Linked DNA regions of Daphnia pulex. The protein of the gene in region 3 purifies or fractionates together with the protein of the main gene of each other region. This does not show direct contact. Links are inferred from orthologs where the notes say so. Each region holds a gene or a part of one and is shown on either strand. Other genes may lie near its edges.

Region 1 (6,397 bases), on a different chromosome or scaffold from region 3:
TTCTTGCTTATCATCGTATAGTGTGAAAAATGAATTCGGTTTACAAGTCTCTCTTTTTTTGAACGGCAATCGAATTGGACTCGCGTCGGTTCAAGATTCCATTTTCGTCTCCGCTAATCAATGGAGCCCTGTGACCCTCCAGTCGACTCTAAACTTACAAAAAGGAGATACAGTCTGGTTAGAAATTTCTTACCTTTCGTCAGGAGCGTATTTGCACGATGACAATTTCCACCACACCCATTTCACTGGTTTCATGTTGGAGGAGGAAATCGTCGACTCCCTTTGAACTGTAAATGAATTTGTGTAGTAAAGAAATTTAATTGTTTTTTAGAAATAAACAAAATGAAGTTAGGTTGAAATGCATTTTTTCTACATACAGTTGTACATAATTGAATACCATCTCGAGAGGATGAGAATGTTTCAGGGGTTTTGTGTTTAATACTGGGTAATACTTAACGTATCTATTACCGTAATAGATACGTTTATCACGTAGACCCAAACTTCGTATTGGGTTAGCTAAAAAAATCTCTTTCGGAGGTTTGGTAGTCAGTTCAGAGAACTTAACCAAATTAGACTGAAATGGTTCAACTTTTGTGGCAATCGAGACTATATTTAATCTGTCCGCTTGGTTAACTTTACTCAGTGGTCAACATTTTATTTTTAAAAGGATCGGGAACTAGTTTGATGTAGGGAATATGGAAGTTTCTACTTCGGTCTTCAAACATTTCATCCACATGTAGTCGACTAGTCGAGAAAGGCGATTATAAAGAAACGAAATTACATTGTATTATAACGGAGAACGCAGCTACAACGGACGCCTTTATAATAACGTTTTTATGACACTATAATGTGATACACCCACTTCAATCGCTGTCAGCCACATCGCTGGACTCTGGTTCACTTTCCATTTCTTCTTCCTCGCTTTCTTCTTTTTCAACCTTTTTCTTGTCAGTCTTCTTGCTGGAGCCCTTGGACTTCTTCTTGGCGCCTTCAGACGCTGAGGAGGATTCTTCGTCGGTGCTGATGTATTCCTTACTTTTGAAGTCGCCAGGAGATTTAACTGGAGTTGTTTTAGCAGCTTTGGTTGGCGTTTTAGTTGGCGTTTTGGTTGACGACTTGCTAGAGGACTTGGACGACTTGGCGGCTTTCTCCTCTTTGTCCTTGCTTTTGGAAGAACTGCTAGCAACTGCCGATCCTCCTCCAGACGCAGTATATTCTTTCATAGCCTTATCATAGGCCTCTTTAGCAACTTTAGCTTTGGCTTCCCATATAGATCGATCTTCAACCTTCTGCCACATTTCGCCACCTTTTTTCATCAGATCTGTGACACTTATGCCAGGGTTATCTTTTTTAATCTGTTCGCGTGAGTCGTTCAACCACAGCATGTACGACGACTGTGGTCGTTTGGGCCTGTTTGCATCCTTATCCTTCTTGGATTTGTGCGATCTGGGAGTTTTAGGGGCCTACAACAAAATTAATAAACGATAAAAACTTTAATTCTGAAATTATTGGCAAATTGAAAGATGATATTACCGCCGATTTCGAGCTACTGGATTTCTTGGGTTCCTTTTCCTTTTTCTCCTTCTCCTCTTTTTTGTCCTTCTTTTTCTTCTTTTTGGACGAGGAATCGGAATCACTGCCAGAACCACTGCCAGCCTTGGCAGCACTACTAGCCTTCGCAGCACTACTAGCCTTGGCTCCACCTGATGCGTCGGATGCTTCCGAGTCGGTCGTAGCCACATTGGAGTCGTATTCTTCTGCTACGTCACTTTCCTCACCAGGTTTGAAGTCTTCGTCATTTTCATCAGAATCTCCACCCGAATCGTCACCTGCAACTGGCACATGTTAGTGGAAAGGCTTTTGTTTCGTTAAGCAAGGAAAACGTACCAACTGCGTCACGCTGTTTGCCTTCAGCCTTGACACGAGCCAAATATGCGTCGGGCGCTTCCTCTTCGTCCGAATCGCCAAAATCATCCCCATGAGCGGACTTGTCCTATTACGTACAACAAAAACTGATTAGTACAAACACTATCAATGGGTTGCTAGATCTTACGGATCGGCCAGTATTTTTGACGCGGAGCTTCTTGTTGTTTACGAAATCGTACAAGCGGTTATATTCCTCCTTTTCAATGCTACTGAAGGTGTGAACAACCCCATTTTTGGTCTCAACTTCGAAGTCAAAAGAACGGGTACTTCCTCCGCCACGAGCAAAGTTAACACTTGCAATTTCTTCGAATCTGTGCGAAGGAAGAATAAATTAAAAAATATGCAAACAAAAATTTCAGGGAAACGAATTCTACCGAATGTGAATAGGAGGTTTATGAACGTAAATAAAACCACGTTCTAGCGGATACAAGTATCCGGCTGCTGCTTTGTAGGAACATCCAACAGCGGGGGTTCCAGAATGGCTATAAATAATTAAAAAAGAAGGAAACTGTGAAATCAGTCTAGAACACTTGAAATGAAAATATAAAATTTTACCCAGTAAAATTTCCAGGTATAGTGACCTTTCGGTTAACCATGGCCTTCATGACGGTACTCATAACTTCATAAGTTGGACCATTACAATCACGAGAAAGTCGGCCTTCAAACTTTTCTTTCAATTCCTCCCTGTTAGGACAAACGTTTTTTGATGACGTGTTGAAAATGTTGAATTATTCAAAATTACTCACTCTGATAATGGTATTTCAAAAGATGTCTCCTCATCTTTGTTAAAGAGAAGGACCAAAAAGTGGTAACGCGTCTGACCTTGCTTAATAGGTGGATCAAGGCTTACCTGAATTACACAATAAAAATATGTAGATTAATGATGATTCTTTTCTTAATTTCTTTTTCAGAGATGTGTAACTTACTACAAAGAAAATTTGCCGACCATCTTTGTGCGGAAGTAAAAACAGGCGAAGTACAGTAGAGGCTGGAATCTTGTAGTCAAATGTCTTACCATGAAGTTGAAAGAATGATTGGAAAACTTTGATGTCATAGCGACCTCTGTCAAGGATAAAAACTAAATGAGCAAATGTTTTAAGTACAAATGATAGAAAATACCTTGGTGTGAGGCACTGAACTTCTCTGAAGATGGCAATTGCATCACCAGTAGCACTGATGACACTTGCTTTAGGCATCACCTGCTTCTGGAATGCTTCAACAGCATCATCTCCACCTTGATCATTGGACTGAATGAAGAGACGCATCTCCATCAGACTGACTGATGCATCATCATTCTAGTTTTAGAGAAAATAAAGCAGTAGGTAAGATGTCTGCAGCATTGTTTGTCATAATAGTACCCACCTGATGGAATTCTAAGGTGACTTCATTTTTCCCTGTTGTGCATTGGGACACATTGCTTAGAGGAATCTCAAAGGCAGTATGGTTTCCAACTTCAAAAGACATAGTTGAACCACTGAACTCAGCACGGCCCCAATTCCATCCTTTGACACTCAGCTCTTTCTCCAGCATGTCTTTTTTGTAGGTTTGAGTAAAAAACTTTGCCAGCTTGTCTTGATCCTAGACAAAACCAAATTAATAGGAAATTGAAAATAAAAAAGCTTTCAAATGTTAAAAAATTACTTACTGAATCTTTAAATCCACCATAGCGATGAAGTGCTCCGGTTCTGAGAAATACACGTAGTCCCCAAGCACCAGCTAGTCGCTGCCAGTTAACCAATTCAATGTCAGAAGAACTTATCTGTTCAACTTTACCCGTTTTGGAATTCTTGAACACGATACTCTGATCCGTTAGTTTTAGACGGCCTGGAGTCTAGAAGAAAAAATTTTGTCAATAGAAGAAGATTCACGTGCAGCCGATATGACAATTTAGCGAGCCTCTTACCATTGAGCCTTTAATTTCAGCTGAAACATCAGAGAACTCTAAAAAATCCATCACACAACGAAAAAATTGTAATCCCGATTGGCGAAATGAATAAAAATCCAACTAGACGAGCTGGAAAGCAAGAGAATAATCGTAACAATGTAAAACACCAGCAGTCGGTTATTTTACTTCGCGCCGAGCGGAGAAGTATAAGGAATGGCCATAAAGCGTTGCCAGTGAAACTCGTTTGGGCAACGCTAGATTTTAAAGATATTTGATACCGTATTTGAACATTTGAAATAAATCATAGTTTAATAGAAAAATTATTTTTAAGTAGAAATTTAAACTGGGGAAGAGGATTTTTCGTTGATTGGATTGGATAGGATTTCAGGATTGTGGAATGTGGATTCTACAATGTTGAGACTCCAGATGGCACTCACTACCATAGATTTTCTAGAGCTTTACATGATCAAAAGATCAAAAAGTGGTCAAGAGGGATCGACCGTATTCTTCTAGTGTTATCCGAAGTACTGTCAGCCGCAAGGCGGATTGTCAAGTTGCATTTACTATTGTAGAAAATAGTATATCCACGTGTTAAAAAATTGGAATTTGGATCTGAATGTTTTCTCGCTGGCCCTCTCAAATTAGTTGACTATATTTTTAAGATTTAAAATGGTTTTCTATTTCGTCAGCACCGCCGTTCAACCCAGTTGCGCACTTTTCATGGGAGAAGAAAAACATGAAAGTAAGAAGTAATCAATCAGTAAGATATAAAATGGGATTATTAATCCTTGTAGTAACAACTAGATGAGGAGTTGATCAAGTGGGGATGGCCTGAAGATGTTTGGTTCCACGTTGACAAGCTATCGTCAGCCCATGTTTACATACGACTAAACAAGGTAAGGGTTTTTTTTATTAAATCAAATAAAACAATTTTTAATACAGCTCTGTTACTATTCTTATTTGTAGGGTCAAGTAATTGATGATATTCCAGCAGCCATTTTAGAAGATGCAGCACAATTATGTAAAGCGAACAGCATCCAAGGGAATAAAATGAACAACATTGATGTTGTTTACACCCTGTGGTCTAATTTGAAAAAGACTCCTGGTATGGAAGTTGGACAAGTTGGATTTCACAAAGAAAAAGATGTACAGATTTCCTTCTTAATGTGTTCCTATCCATTATCTAACAATCAAGTTTTATAGGTTCGCAAGATTAGGGTGGAGAAAAGAATTAATGAAATTGTAAACCGTCTCAACAAAACCAAAGTTGAGAAAAAACCTGATTTAAGGTTTGAAAGAGAACAGAGAGACTGTGCAGAAAGAGACGACAAGAAAAGGCTCCTTAAAGAACAAAAAGAAAGGGAGAGAGAAGAAGAAAAGCGAAAAAAGGATGAAGCTGAACTAAGGTGACCTTGATTTACTAAACACTATATTTATTTTTTTACACAGAAATGTTAATTTTTACATGTTTAGGAGCTACGATCGCTTGCTGAAGCAAACGAACATGAAGACCAATAAAGATGATGATGGAAACGATTCCGATGACTTCATGTAAGAAATCGCTTACGTTAACAACCAGCCGAGTGTATGCGAACTCGATCACAAACCGATCAGCCTTTTCGTATGAAGTATATGTGCTATTAAAATATTCCTCGCACTTGACTCGAGTTTTCTCTTGGTCAATAAAAATGTGGAAATAAAACATAATTTCTTAATATATTTTAATATAGGGAGATTATAAGTATAGCTATGATTAATTCCAGATGACCAATTTTCAGATCTTGACATTTTGTTTACATTAGCCAAAGGTTATGATGACGAGCAGATCTCTCTAAGTCATCAAATGCCCATCGATAGTTATTGTTTACCACTGAAATATTGTTTCGAAACCACACTGAGCACCAGAGTCGCGCAACACAGGAAGTGATTCTCACCCCCAAAAAGATTGGCAACTTCCGTCTGAAAGCGGAAGAAAATGGGTGTAAACCAAGACTTCTGGTTTTCATTCAGGAAATCAAACAGAAATTTTTATTTAATTTTATTAGTCGGAAGCGAAACCAGGATCTCTAAGGAATACGGATTTCCTCTCACATTTATTTCCTTCCTACTGCGACGTCAGAATCTGTTGGACGGGTAGTTGACCTCAAAAGTGAAACCGAGACATCAAGTTTAAAACGTTCGAGACGGAATTCAGTCTTCAAGTGGATACCGTCGTGTATGCTGAGTGCTTTCGTCCACTCCGTCTCGACTAGAGTAGAGCGCAATGCCGAATTCCGTGTTAACGTTCAAGTCTCTGCTGATGTTTTGGCTGATGTGTTCTATGGGCTCTGACTGCGCCCCAGTACTTTCTAAACCAATTAACGCCACTAGAAAAATTCCCCAGTCTTCTAGCCTAAAAGCAGCTGCTCCAGCCGTCGTCACCACCGCCCAGCCTCCGCTTTCATCCCTGTCCGTGAGCACCAAACCATCAGCGTCAATCCATCCTCAAAACTTGTCCTCTCCGGAATCGATTCGGAACGTTTCACCCACGGAAAATCATAACGTTGCATCCCCAAGAAATGTTGAAGGAGCGACTGTAAACGTAGT
Region 2 (5,662 bases), on a different chromosome or scaffold from region 3:
CTTCGGGCTGCCAACGTGCCTTTTAATACACTCACTCTTTTCTTTTTCTTTTCCCCATTTTCTTTGACTATGGCGGCTGCTATGCCAGTGTGAGTATACCAAAGCTAATTTCAAACGTCGGCTGCATTCCATACACGCCCATCGATTTTTCTATGCTGTGCTTATTACTGCTTGCTACAGTTTATTCGAAGCGATTTGATCAATAATCAATCGTTCGTGACTGCTGCTGCTCGACGACTCTATAAAACTGAGTTACGATAGCTAAAATTCAATGATTACGTAACCATGGCAATTTTTCGCGACTGCAATTGCATTTTACCTTCTCCTTCGATGTACCAACAGGAAGATTATTTAAATGAAGTCTAATAACCGGTTTCGCTCGCTGCTGTGGACCCCGTGGTGGTGTAATTACAACATTTTCATTAGAAAGTATTGAATTAGTAAATTTTATCATGGACCTGGAACTAAATATGGTATTAGACCAGAACTGTAGATTGAATCTTCCTTTAAGAAACGTCCTACATTTGTCTTTTGTTTAAATTTTCCAATTCTGAAATCCAGAAATTTCTCTTCACATATTTTTTCTGTTTGTTTTTTCCCTCCGTCGTGTTGAAGGGGGGGAAATCCGGCGTTTGTATACAAAAAGTTCGACAATCCCACAGTCCACTCGATCGTGAAAGCGAAGTGACTAACCGCAATAAGGGATGGGAAGGGAGAAACCGTATCAATAACATCATTAACGGGCTCTATTCTATGGACAACATGTTTATGGTAGGGAAGCTCTTATTTCTATTCTCAACGGGACCAGCAGATAAGTATAGTACGGGCCTATTATACTTCAGTGCAACTACACGGATAGTTTACAAAGTACAAACAAAAATTAGAGGGGCATGTCGTCTTTGTTACGGTCGTGAGAACTTTTTTCCGTTCCGGACGAAAATAATAAAAGATTGATATTTTGTTCTGACTAAACTCTTTTAACTCTTAAACAAGTTTTGACCTTAGGCGAAATAATTTCAGCCGCGTTACTTATCCCGCCTTGAAAGTCCATTAAATTACAATTATCGTGATGCTCATGTCTACGATTTAACCGGTTGGGGATCGAGGTGCAAGTTGATTCAGCCGTGGAAGAGATTGTGGTCGAAGAAAAAAAAAACAAACAAAATATTCTCAAAAACATTTCCAATGCGATTCGCTGACTGCTAAGAGGATAATAAGAACCAAACAGACTTCCGTAATTGAGTACAGCTGTGCAAACAAATTTGTTCCAACTGTTGGGCGCGCCGTTGCCGGATGTAGGAAGACAACACAATTTACCAAATCGACTTTTTCATAGGAGGAAAAAAGCAGTTAGAAACAGCTACATTCCGGTTGTGAGAAATTTCTACCCTCCCCCTGATAAAAATTTGCTGTTCCTTTCTTTGTGTTTATAACACCGAGGCGAAACCGTATCTCCCGCCTTTCACATGTCACTTGTAAACCGGAATGAAAGTGTTCTGACTTGTCATGTCCCGCTACACACACTTCTATTGAGTTTCCAACAAACAGATCCAACTAGTTTTTTTTTAAGGCTTATCCGGTTTCTCCTCCAGCAGCCATTGACTTTAAAAAGAAAGCATTACTACTCGGATTACTGGAAAACGTCAGATGGCAACATAAACTTGCGGTTGGGTAACTTTTTAAATTGATAGATAAAATAATAATAAGACTTTTCATTTCAAATGAAAAAGAAATGTAGTAGAAACAACTGAAGGACAAATGCCATTGTCAGGTGATATTGTATCGTCTTGCAGGATTCCATCGAAAAAGGGAAAATTTACGGAATACGTGTGGCATTTACGCTATTGACTCATCAGCAACAGCTCGGGCGAAAGCAAAATCTGAATCACGAGCACAAAGTTGAGTTGATAAAAAAAAAAGAGTGGACGTTCTTCAACGTTAAATAAATCATGATTGTCTTATTTAACGCGAAGAAGATGATGAACTGCGACTGTAACGGCGATTGTTGCCACCTGAACGGCGATTGGGTGAACGAGACCTGGAACGGGCAGGTGGAGGTGGTCTCCTATCTCTGTCCCTTCGTGGAGGAGATCGTCGACGTAGGGGAGAACGTCTTCGGAATCTGTAGAAATGAACACAACAGATGCAAATAACCGGAATAAAGATTTACTTTAGTAGTATATTACCTTGGTGGAGATCGACCACCACCCATGCCCCAACGGCCCGGTCGATTTCTGGGTGGTGAATTCCGTCGAGGTGGTGGTGGACGGTTTTTAGGGATCAGCACAGGGGCGGCTGTGATTTCTTGTCCATCAATTTGGCCTAGAGATTATTTGAGATTAAAAACGTATTTATAGCAGTAACCAACAAACGTTACTTTACCTCCGTCCATATGCTTCATTGCATTTTCTGCTTCGTCGGCAGTACTGAACTCGATGTAAGCAAAGCCCCGGTGGAGGTGACTTAACCCAGCACGTTCGTTGGGAAACTCGACAGCTTTGATGGTTCCGTAAACGGAGAAAATTTCGTTAATGTGTTCCTTGTTGACATTGCGCGTCAGTCGGCCGATGTGGATTCGAAGTGGCTTGGGTGTAGGTGAACGATCGCGACGACGCCTCCGGGGAGATGTAGAGCGGGATCGTTTGTTTTCTTTGTTTCTGTCTTTGTCAACATTCTTTTCTCCATCCAGTTTTGTTTTCTCTTCATCAGGTTTGCTATCAACTTTTGGCTTATCACTCGCTGGGGCTCTGTACGTCAACAAAAATGCTGTTATCACAAGAAACTTGTTTACCGTCATCCAACTAGAATAATTACCTCTTTTTCTGGTGCTTCTTTAATGAACCGCTGGAACGTGAGGAACCTGATGAATCAGAAGAGCTAGATGAACTAGATGATGATCTAGAGTCTGAAGAAGAACTGCTGGATGATCGTGAACTAGAGCTGCTGCTACTGCTGCTGCTGGACGATCTAGAACTGAAATGTCACATTAAGCTGAAGGTTTCATTAAACACAACAAAGTTTAACACTACCTTCTGCTTGAAGAACTATCACTGCTTGAAGCTCTGCCTTTTTTCTTCCCAGAATCTTTGGTATCCTTTTTGTCTTTGCTAGCATCTTTTGATTTACTGGAATCTTCGCCGGCTTTCCGGTCTTTTCGATCGCCAGTTTCTTTGTCCGGCCTAAGTGATTTACACAAATTTAAAATATTGTTAATTTAGATTCATCGTAAAAATTTACTAAATTATTAAATGATGCTGAGGATTTAACTCGATTTACTCACATTTTCAGAAAGTTTTATTGAAAAACATACGAGTTGATAAAGGGGAGGAGCGTTAAAAACAGACGCTTAATGCCACTTGCACAACGTTGCCTGTATTAAATAGATTCTCGTTTTTATTTTTATGAATGTAAAGTTATAGTTTTTTAATTGGAACAAGTTATGTGAATTTTTTAAAGATTAAATCAAAGATTATTTAATTTTTTATTATTAAAATGTTAAACTAGTTGTACGACAGCCGACGGCAACGAAAAAATGTTTCGGCAATGATTGTTTTTGGGCTGTTGCCGAAACTCTACAAGGCCGTCAGTACGTATAGCAACCACTTGAAAACACTGGCCAAGTGGCAAAAGAAATGGCAGACAGGAGAAAGAGCAGGTAATCCCTTGCATGACTGTTTAAAAATATTATAAGCTTCCGGTCGTCACAATAATATTATGATGCTGTTTCAAATTTTAGCGGGCCACATTCGGCGGAAATAGCGGTCGTAAGAGAAATCTATGACGGTGAAAACGCCCAGGAAAGATTTGAGCTAGAACTAGAACGAGCTCTGGAAGCTGCTGTTCCAGTAATTGTCATTGAGCCAGTTCGACTAGGCGATGAAACGGCGCGATGGATCGCCGTTGGAAATTGTCTTCACAAGACAGCAGTACTTGCTGGACTTGGTTCGGTCATAACAGGTAAATTGTTGCTAGTATTCAGTTGTTGCATTATATAAGTCTAATTTTGTTAAATTTCCTGTTTAGGATTTTTCTGTGATAATCGTCCATACATATACACTCCATTAGGTCTCCTTTCCTTGCTGTGTACAGGACTGTACACAGCATCTTGGCAATTTGATCCTTGCTGTAAATACCAGGTAGAATACATACACTTGACTAAGTTGGCAAAGGTCATAGCAGATATCGGTTTTGCTTCAGGTTGAAATGGATACAAAAAGACTGGCCAAATTACCAGTTAATAGGTTGACCACTTCCAGTCCCATAGTTCTCGTAAGAAGAGATGATAACAAACGGAAGACTCTTCATTGCACCATCTGTGTTACAGCAGCTAGCATTACCCTTTGGAAGCTGTACTTTATTGCCTTCAAGTAGTCTTGTTATAAAGAAAACTTCCCAAATGTACAAACTGAACAATACATCCTTATTATATCAGAATGTATTAGAGATTCTCTACTAGAAATTAACGACTTTTTTTGCTCTTGGCCGCTCGACGCGCCATAAGTTTGAAATAAACGTTGGGTAGAATTGCACGAAGAAATACTGCTAAACGATAAAAGAGTGAGCAGAGCATCAGCTCTTGGGTTTTTTCCTTAATTGCAATGACAATTTCATATGCAGCTTGGAGTGGATCCGCTCCCGACTCCGTAGTTTCATCCGTCTGTCCATATTTGTCTCCTCGGCCCGTCAGCGCGTTCAGAGACAAACTTGTGCGGATGTATCCGGGGTTAATGACTGTCACATCAATCTTGTGACGATGGATTTCCGCTCGCAGACTGTCGCTAAATGCCTGAAGTGCATGTTTGGAAGCAGCATAGGCCGATCTGGAATCGACATAGACGATAAAAATTAAATATTAATGTATTCAAAAACATGATAAAACTTACCGAAACGGAATTGCCAGTTTTGATTGAAGTGATCCAATCATCACGATATGGCCACTTTGTCGTATTATCATTGAAGGAAGAATAGCTAAGTTACAATTAAATCAGAAACCCGATTTTTAAAAGATCACATTTGACGGTATTTACCTTTAGTCAATCCAATTGTTCCGAAGTAGTTAATGTTCATTACTTTGGCATCCACTTCCAGGGAAGTATCAGTTACTTCTCCTCTGTAACTGATTCCAGCGTTGTTCACAAGTATATCGACATATCCGTAGACCCCGAGAATAGTTCTTACTTTGTCCGCTAAATTGTTTAGGTCTTGAAGATCTAGTTCAATGATTACAGGTGGATAGATGGTGCCTTTTCTCAAGCCAGAACCCAGTAACTGTTCTTTCACACGATCAAGTTCAGTGTATCGCCTGGACGCGATAATCAACTTGCATCCTTCTGTGTACAAGCACTTTGCCAGGGCTTCGCCGAGACCAGAGCTGGCACCCGTGATGAGAACAACTTTACCTTCGAGACTGGAATCATGTCTCGAAATTCTTTGCTTTATAGCGAAAAATGCTTCAACCAATCTTCCTATTATTGTTAATGGTAAGAAAAGCAAACAGGCAATACAATTCAACCATTTTTTGGCCCAATTCAGCAATAGATTGCCTTTAAATGGCAGCCTCAGAATCTGTGCATCAGGTCCAGTTTTGCTGGGTGACTCTAATGAACCTAAAATAAAAACAAGAAAAAAATAACACATTTAAGTTACTTCACAACAACACAAA
Region 3 (4,267 bases):
ACAGCTTTTCCTTTAGTTGATGGATGAGATGACGCTGGTGGAGGGTTTACACCTCGTAGCTCTTTACGTTCGGCAAAGTCTCGTCGGCCACGGTTCGATGGTCGACGGGGTCGTCCGATGTCATTTGAATGTGGAGATGACTCCCATTCACTAGAACTGGACGAACCGGAGGAGGCACGAGCTCGTCCTCCATGGGCTTTCGTGGGAGGGGCAGAGCTATTGTTCTTAGTCGCAGGGCGCATCTTGGAAAGAGATCTGGAACGTGAACGGGACGAAGAACTTGACCAGTCCCTATGTGTACCACGACAATATGCAAAACGTCACATTGAACTGACATATGCCTAGCAATGTAAGCTATTTATTTACCTATTTCGAACTTGAGGTGACCTCTCATGGATGTTCCGCTGCTTATCTGTGGGCTTCCGTGAGGATTGGGGGTGCGGGGGCGATAACGGGATGGGAGCGGATGAAGATGTTTTATGTTTGGCAACAGGAAGTGAAGAGACGGTCTTATGGTTCCCTTTAACCCGCTGGTCTCCGACTTTTGCCTTCCGTCCTTGCCGTCGTTTTACATTCATTGATTTAGATTTTGAAGTGGAACGTGAGCTAGCACTGGAACGACTGGAACGACTGCTTGAGCTCGAGTATGAACTCGAACTTGAGCTCGATGTCGACGACGATGTTGAAAAAGATGACCCAGACGAATAGCTACGTCGTCTAGAACCTTTAGCTCCAGCCGAATTTCCTCCGGCGCCAACGACTGCACTTGAAGATGGACCACCACCAGCAGCACCTCCGCCTCCAGCACCACCAGGAGATCTTGATCTCATCCACGGATCCCACCATTCATCACTACGTCCACGCTGAGCTGGAGGCACAACTTCCACGTATCTATATTGAACAATTTAAAAGGTTCAATAAAGGATTTTGTTTTGGTTCTACAGACGCAGTCACATTGCATCAATTAAAACTGACCTCTCATCAGACCATCTTTTTTCGTGAGGGGGAGGAAGTTGAGGTTGGGATTTACTGGCAGATGGATGGATATCTCGTTCACTTGGTTTTGGACCGTAGTAGTGCGGACGCTCATATCCTTCCGGATGATAGTATTCCCTTTCTCTATACTCTGATTCTGGTGGGTAAGGTCGCCGGCCTTCGTACGGATAAGGGTAACCAGGTGGGGGGTGGCGGTGAGGAGGCGGGTAGCGTGACGGAGGCCATCGCCCTTCAGCTGATGGAGGTAAAAATTTATGGTATGGTTCTGTATCTGGCTCTTCAAATCTAGAGGAGTAAAAAAATTAACAGATCCTATTTAACTCTTAAACAGATTTTAATGCAGTGCGATTTAACTTACGGAGGAGGGACGTCTCCATGTAAAACTGGACTAGCAGGTCGAGTGTAGTAGTCATTCTCTTTGTCCAATTCTTCCTCACCTAAACCTAAATTTAGTTTTTTTTCTTCGAAGTCAATGTCAGTTTCTTTACGATGACTGGACTTTTTGAGCATCTGTAAAGAAAACGTTTATTATGAACCCATAGCAATAAACTTAAATAATCACGGCATTGTCTCATACCTCTTTGGCTTGTCTCAGTCCTCTTTCCCAAGGTGATTCAGCACCGGTTGCATCAGTCCGAGGTGGCTCGGCCGGCTACAATTCAGAAATGAAGTTTCTCAAATAACGAAAATTGACTTAGCTGAAAGTAAGTAACCGTGTACCTGTGGATGTCGTGGAGGTCGAGGATTAGCGACCCTTGGCTGAGAATTTGCCCACTCTGCTGGCGGGATGAGTGGAACCACCGGTGGTCGATCAAAAGGTCTTTCGTAGGGTGCTGAAGGCCCGTTATGGGCAGATGGACGTGCAGGAGCAAACATATTGTAATTTCCCTTGTCTAATACTCCAGGATGAACAAATCTGTAAAACAATATCAATACTTTTTCTTTCAAAAAAAGAAAAATACTAGTTCTTACCTGCAATTATTACCCCAAGTACAATTGCCTTTACTGTAAAATCTACAAACAGGCCTAGGTTCCATGCGTGCATGTTTGCCAACATCTTCTTCGCTGCTAACTTCACCTTCTTCCAACTCTTCACCTTCCTCTAGTTCTTCTTCACTTGCTTCCTTTTCTCTCTGTGGCTTCTCTCCATCACATTCTCCATCTTCGTCATCTTTTTCAGGCTTTCTGTCTTCAATCGGCTTTTTGGGCTCTTCTTCAAGATTATCTTCTTCAAAGTCTAATTCAGTGTCTTTAATCAATGGATCCAAAATTTGAGGAGATTTTTTACTAGATGAATCTTTGCAGTTTTCGTTAGCTTCCATTTCATCATCTGATACCATTTCAAGACTATCCTCATCTTCTTTGCTTGAATCTGAAGCCATTAACTCTTGTTTATGTTCATCCAGCAAGCCACCTGATTGGGCATTTTCATCAAGCCCAATCACTTCTCCACTATCAGATTTTCTATCAATTTCATCTACGTTTGAACTCAGACGACTGGATTCAGCGGCTTGGTCCTGATCAACCATGGAGTTGCTGCTAATGCTGCTTCGGCTTTCCGGACGCGAATTCGTATACAACTGTCCTTCGATTATGCTTGAACTGGTTCCAGACAAGTCAGGATCCGGGCTTGCTGGAGCACTTAAACCGCTTTGACTCATTCTTTTACTAATATACGTTAAACAACAGTGGTAACCATCAATTACTAACTTTAGCCAACAAACTGGGAAAAACTACCAAAAATCCAAACAACCTGGCTTGCAACTAAGCCGCCATGACAGCCCCGTTTTTTGTCGGCTGTTTATAATATATGATGCCAATTAAATTTTGAACATTTCAATACATTTATCATCTATTCTATAGTCAGACGCAAACTATTTGAAAGTATTTAAATTTTTTTAACTATTTTTTTTAGATTTGGTTCACTCAAAGAGTTGAAACTGGAAAATAATAAGGTACTAAATTTTTTTATTTTTGGCAACGCTGAAACAATTGTGCGCGCACAAAAGAAAGGTTTGAAATCATGCGGATAGCGGATTTGCGCTTTTATCATTAGCCATTTAAGTTGAGTCAATACTCAACGAAAGAGTTTTCTGCTTTCGTCAACATGAGTTATCATTTATTTTTTAAGTTTCGGTGGACGGGTTCAAAACTTCCAATGTTCAATCAATCGTAGAGTTATCTGACCTGAAAATATTGACAAAAACAAGACTGATAAGTTTTTGATCTATCGTAGCCTTTTGATTACGAAACATAATTTTCGTTTAGTCACTTGATTCGTTTTCGTTTAGTCATTGGCCCATTGCATGTTTAGCTCCATGCTTAACCTCTCTCAAACATTTTACATTCTTTTTTAAGCAAAACATTTAAAATTCATATTATTGAATGTCTCGATTAATTACCGTTTTAGCAATAATTGCTTGGACCTTTTCAACTTCAACTTTTCAACTGCCACCACCCTGCCCCAGGCAAGAAAATTTCTGTAATCTAACAATGAAATTGCTTAATTACCAGAATTACGTTTTAATTTTAGCGAAATTTATTGCTATGGACCCCTGCTGCATGCTGTCCAAAACGCGGAGTTATACAAAGATTCCAAAACTTTTGTGGATAAAAAATTGCGTTTTAATCCAGAAATAGTCTTAACTAGTTTCTCACAGTTCATGACCGACACTGAAAACCAGCCAACCAAAGAAGAATTACAGGCATTTGTTGACAGCAATTTTGAAGCTGAAGGATTGGAATTCCAGAATTGGGATCCATCGGACTGGATCAGTGATCCTCCATTTCTATCTCAAATTAATAATTCAGAGTTCCGCAATTGGGGGAATCGTCTTCATGAAGGATGGAAATCTCTCGGGCGACAGATAAAAGGTGATGGTCTAAAAAGAAACATTATGGTTTTATTGATTTCCTTAAATTGCAGTCCAGTTTTCTTTCCGCCAGATAAGAGAATCATATTTTAAATTTCTATTCTTTGCTGGTGTTCTCTCTTTCACTGCTTGGACTATGGGCTCTGTGTTGTAATTCTAGACGACGTTCGTGATAATCCTGATTTATACTCCATTGTATATGTTCCGAATCCATTTATTGTTCCCGGTGGAAGATTCAGAGAATCCTATTACTGGGATTCTTATTGGATCGTAAAAGGTCTTCTTATCTCTCAAATGAATCAAACAGTATGTATAAAAACATTTTAAATATTTCTGACATGAATGGGCTAAAGAACGAATTTTAAACTGAAATGTATTTAGGTCAGAGGAATGTTAGA

What was found. Proteins that work in one complex are often made in the same cells at the same time.
Region 1: the proteins of zinc finger CCCH domain-containing protein 18-like (region 3) and FACT complex subunit Ssrp1-like purify together in Homo sapiens (affinity purification with mass spectrometry; 3 studies listed by BioGRID and IntAct, with this or other methods). This does not show direct contact. The link is inferred for Daphnia pulex from reciprocal best matches to the Homo sapiens genes ZC3H18 and SSRP1.
Region 2: the proteins of zinc finger CCCH domain-containing protein 18-like (region 3) and RNA-binding protein with serine-rich domain 1-B-like purify together in Homo sapiens (affinity purification with mass spectrometry; 3 studies listed by BioGRID and IntAct, with this or other methods). This does not show direct contact. The link is inferred for Daphnia pulex from reciprocal best matches to the Homo sapiens genes ZC3H18 and RNPS1.

Annotation. Positions count from the first base shown.
Region 1 is NC_060026.1:11,627,804-11,634,200, forward strand, and holds FACT complex subunit Ssrp1-like, read right to left. Parts: upstream 4,049-6,397; 5' UTR 3,881-4,048; coding exon 3,830-3,880; intron 3,758-3,829; coding exon 3,572-3,757; intron 3,505-3,571; coding exon 3,289-3,504; intron 3,222-3,288; coding exon 3,046-3,221; intron 2,989-3,045; coding exon 2,853-2,988; intron 2,777-2,852; coding exon 2,673-2,776; intron 2,611-2,672; coding exon 2,482-2,610; intron 2,409-2,481; coding exon 2,301-2,408; intron 2,238-2,300; coding exon 2,054-2,237; intron 1,994-2,053; coding exon 1,888-1,993; intron 1,836-1,887; coding exon 1,534-1,835; intron 1,464-1,533; coding exon 864-1,463; 3' UTR 762-863; downstream 1-761. Other genes in the region: coiled-coil domain-containing protein 25-like, read left to right, coding at 4,481-4,553, 4,616-4,707, 4,778-4,957, 5,015-5,217, 5,285-5,366; matrix metalloproteinase-2-like, read left to right, coding at 6,075-6,397. UniProt on the Homo sapiens protein: Component of the FACT complex, a general chromatin factor that acts to reorganize nucleosomes. The FACT complex is involved in multiple processes that require DNA as a template such as mRNA elongation, DNA replication and DNA repair.
Region 2 is NC_060025.1:2,683,448-2,689,109, forward strand, and holds RNA-binding protein with serine-rich domain 1-B-like, read right to left. Parts: upstream 3,365-5,662; 5' UTR 3,283-3,364; coding exon 3,281-3,282; intron 3,180-3,280; coding exon 3,030-3,179; intron 2,974-3,029; coding exon 2,815-2,973; intron 2,748-2,814; coding exon 2,383-2,747; intron 2,323-2,382; coding exon 2,187-2,322; intron 2,123-2,186; coding exon 1,963-2,122; 3' UTR 1,749-1,962; downstream 1-1,748. Other genes in the region: transmembrane protein 11, mitochondrial-like, read left to right, coding at 3,633-3,655, 3,737-3,957, 4,024-4,136, 4,198-4,371; dehydrogenase/reductase SDR family protein 7-like, read right to left, coding at 4,460-4,820, 4,884-4,968, 5,028-5,606. UniProt on the Homo sapiens protein: Part of pre- and post-splicing multiprotein mRNP complexes. Auxiliary component of the splicing-dependent multiprotein exon junction complex (EJC) deposited at splice junction on mRNAs.
Region 3 is NC_060020.1:4,875,861-4,880,127, reverse strand, and holds the start of zinc finger CCCH domain-containing protein 18-like, read right to left. Parts: upstream 2,801-4,267; 5' UTR 2,658-2,800; coding exon 1,969-2,657; intron 1,913-1,968; coding exon 1,717-1,912; intron 1,649-1,716; coding exon 1,574-1,648; intron 1,507-1,573; coding exon 1,355-1,506; intron 1,282-1,354; coding exon 976-1,281; intron 892-975; coding exon 367-891; intron 292-366; coding exon 1-291. Other genes in the region: trehalase-like, read left to right, coding at 3,382-3,464, 3,530-3,870, 4,030-4,175, 4,251-4,267.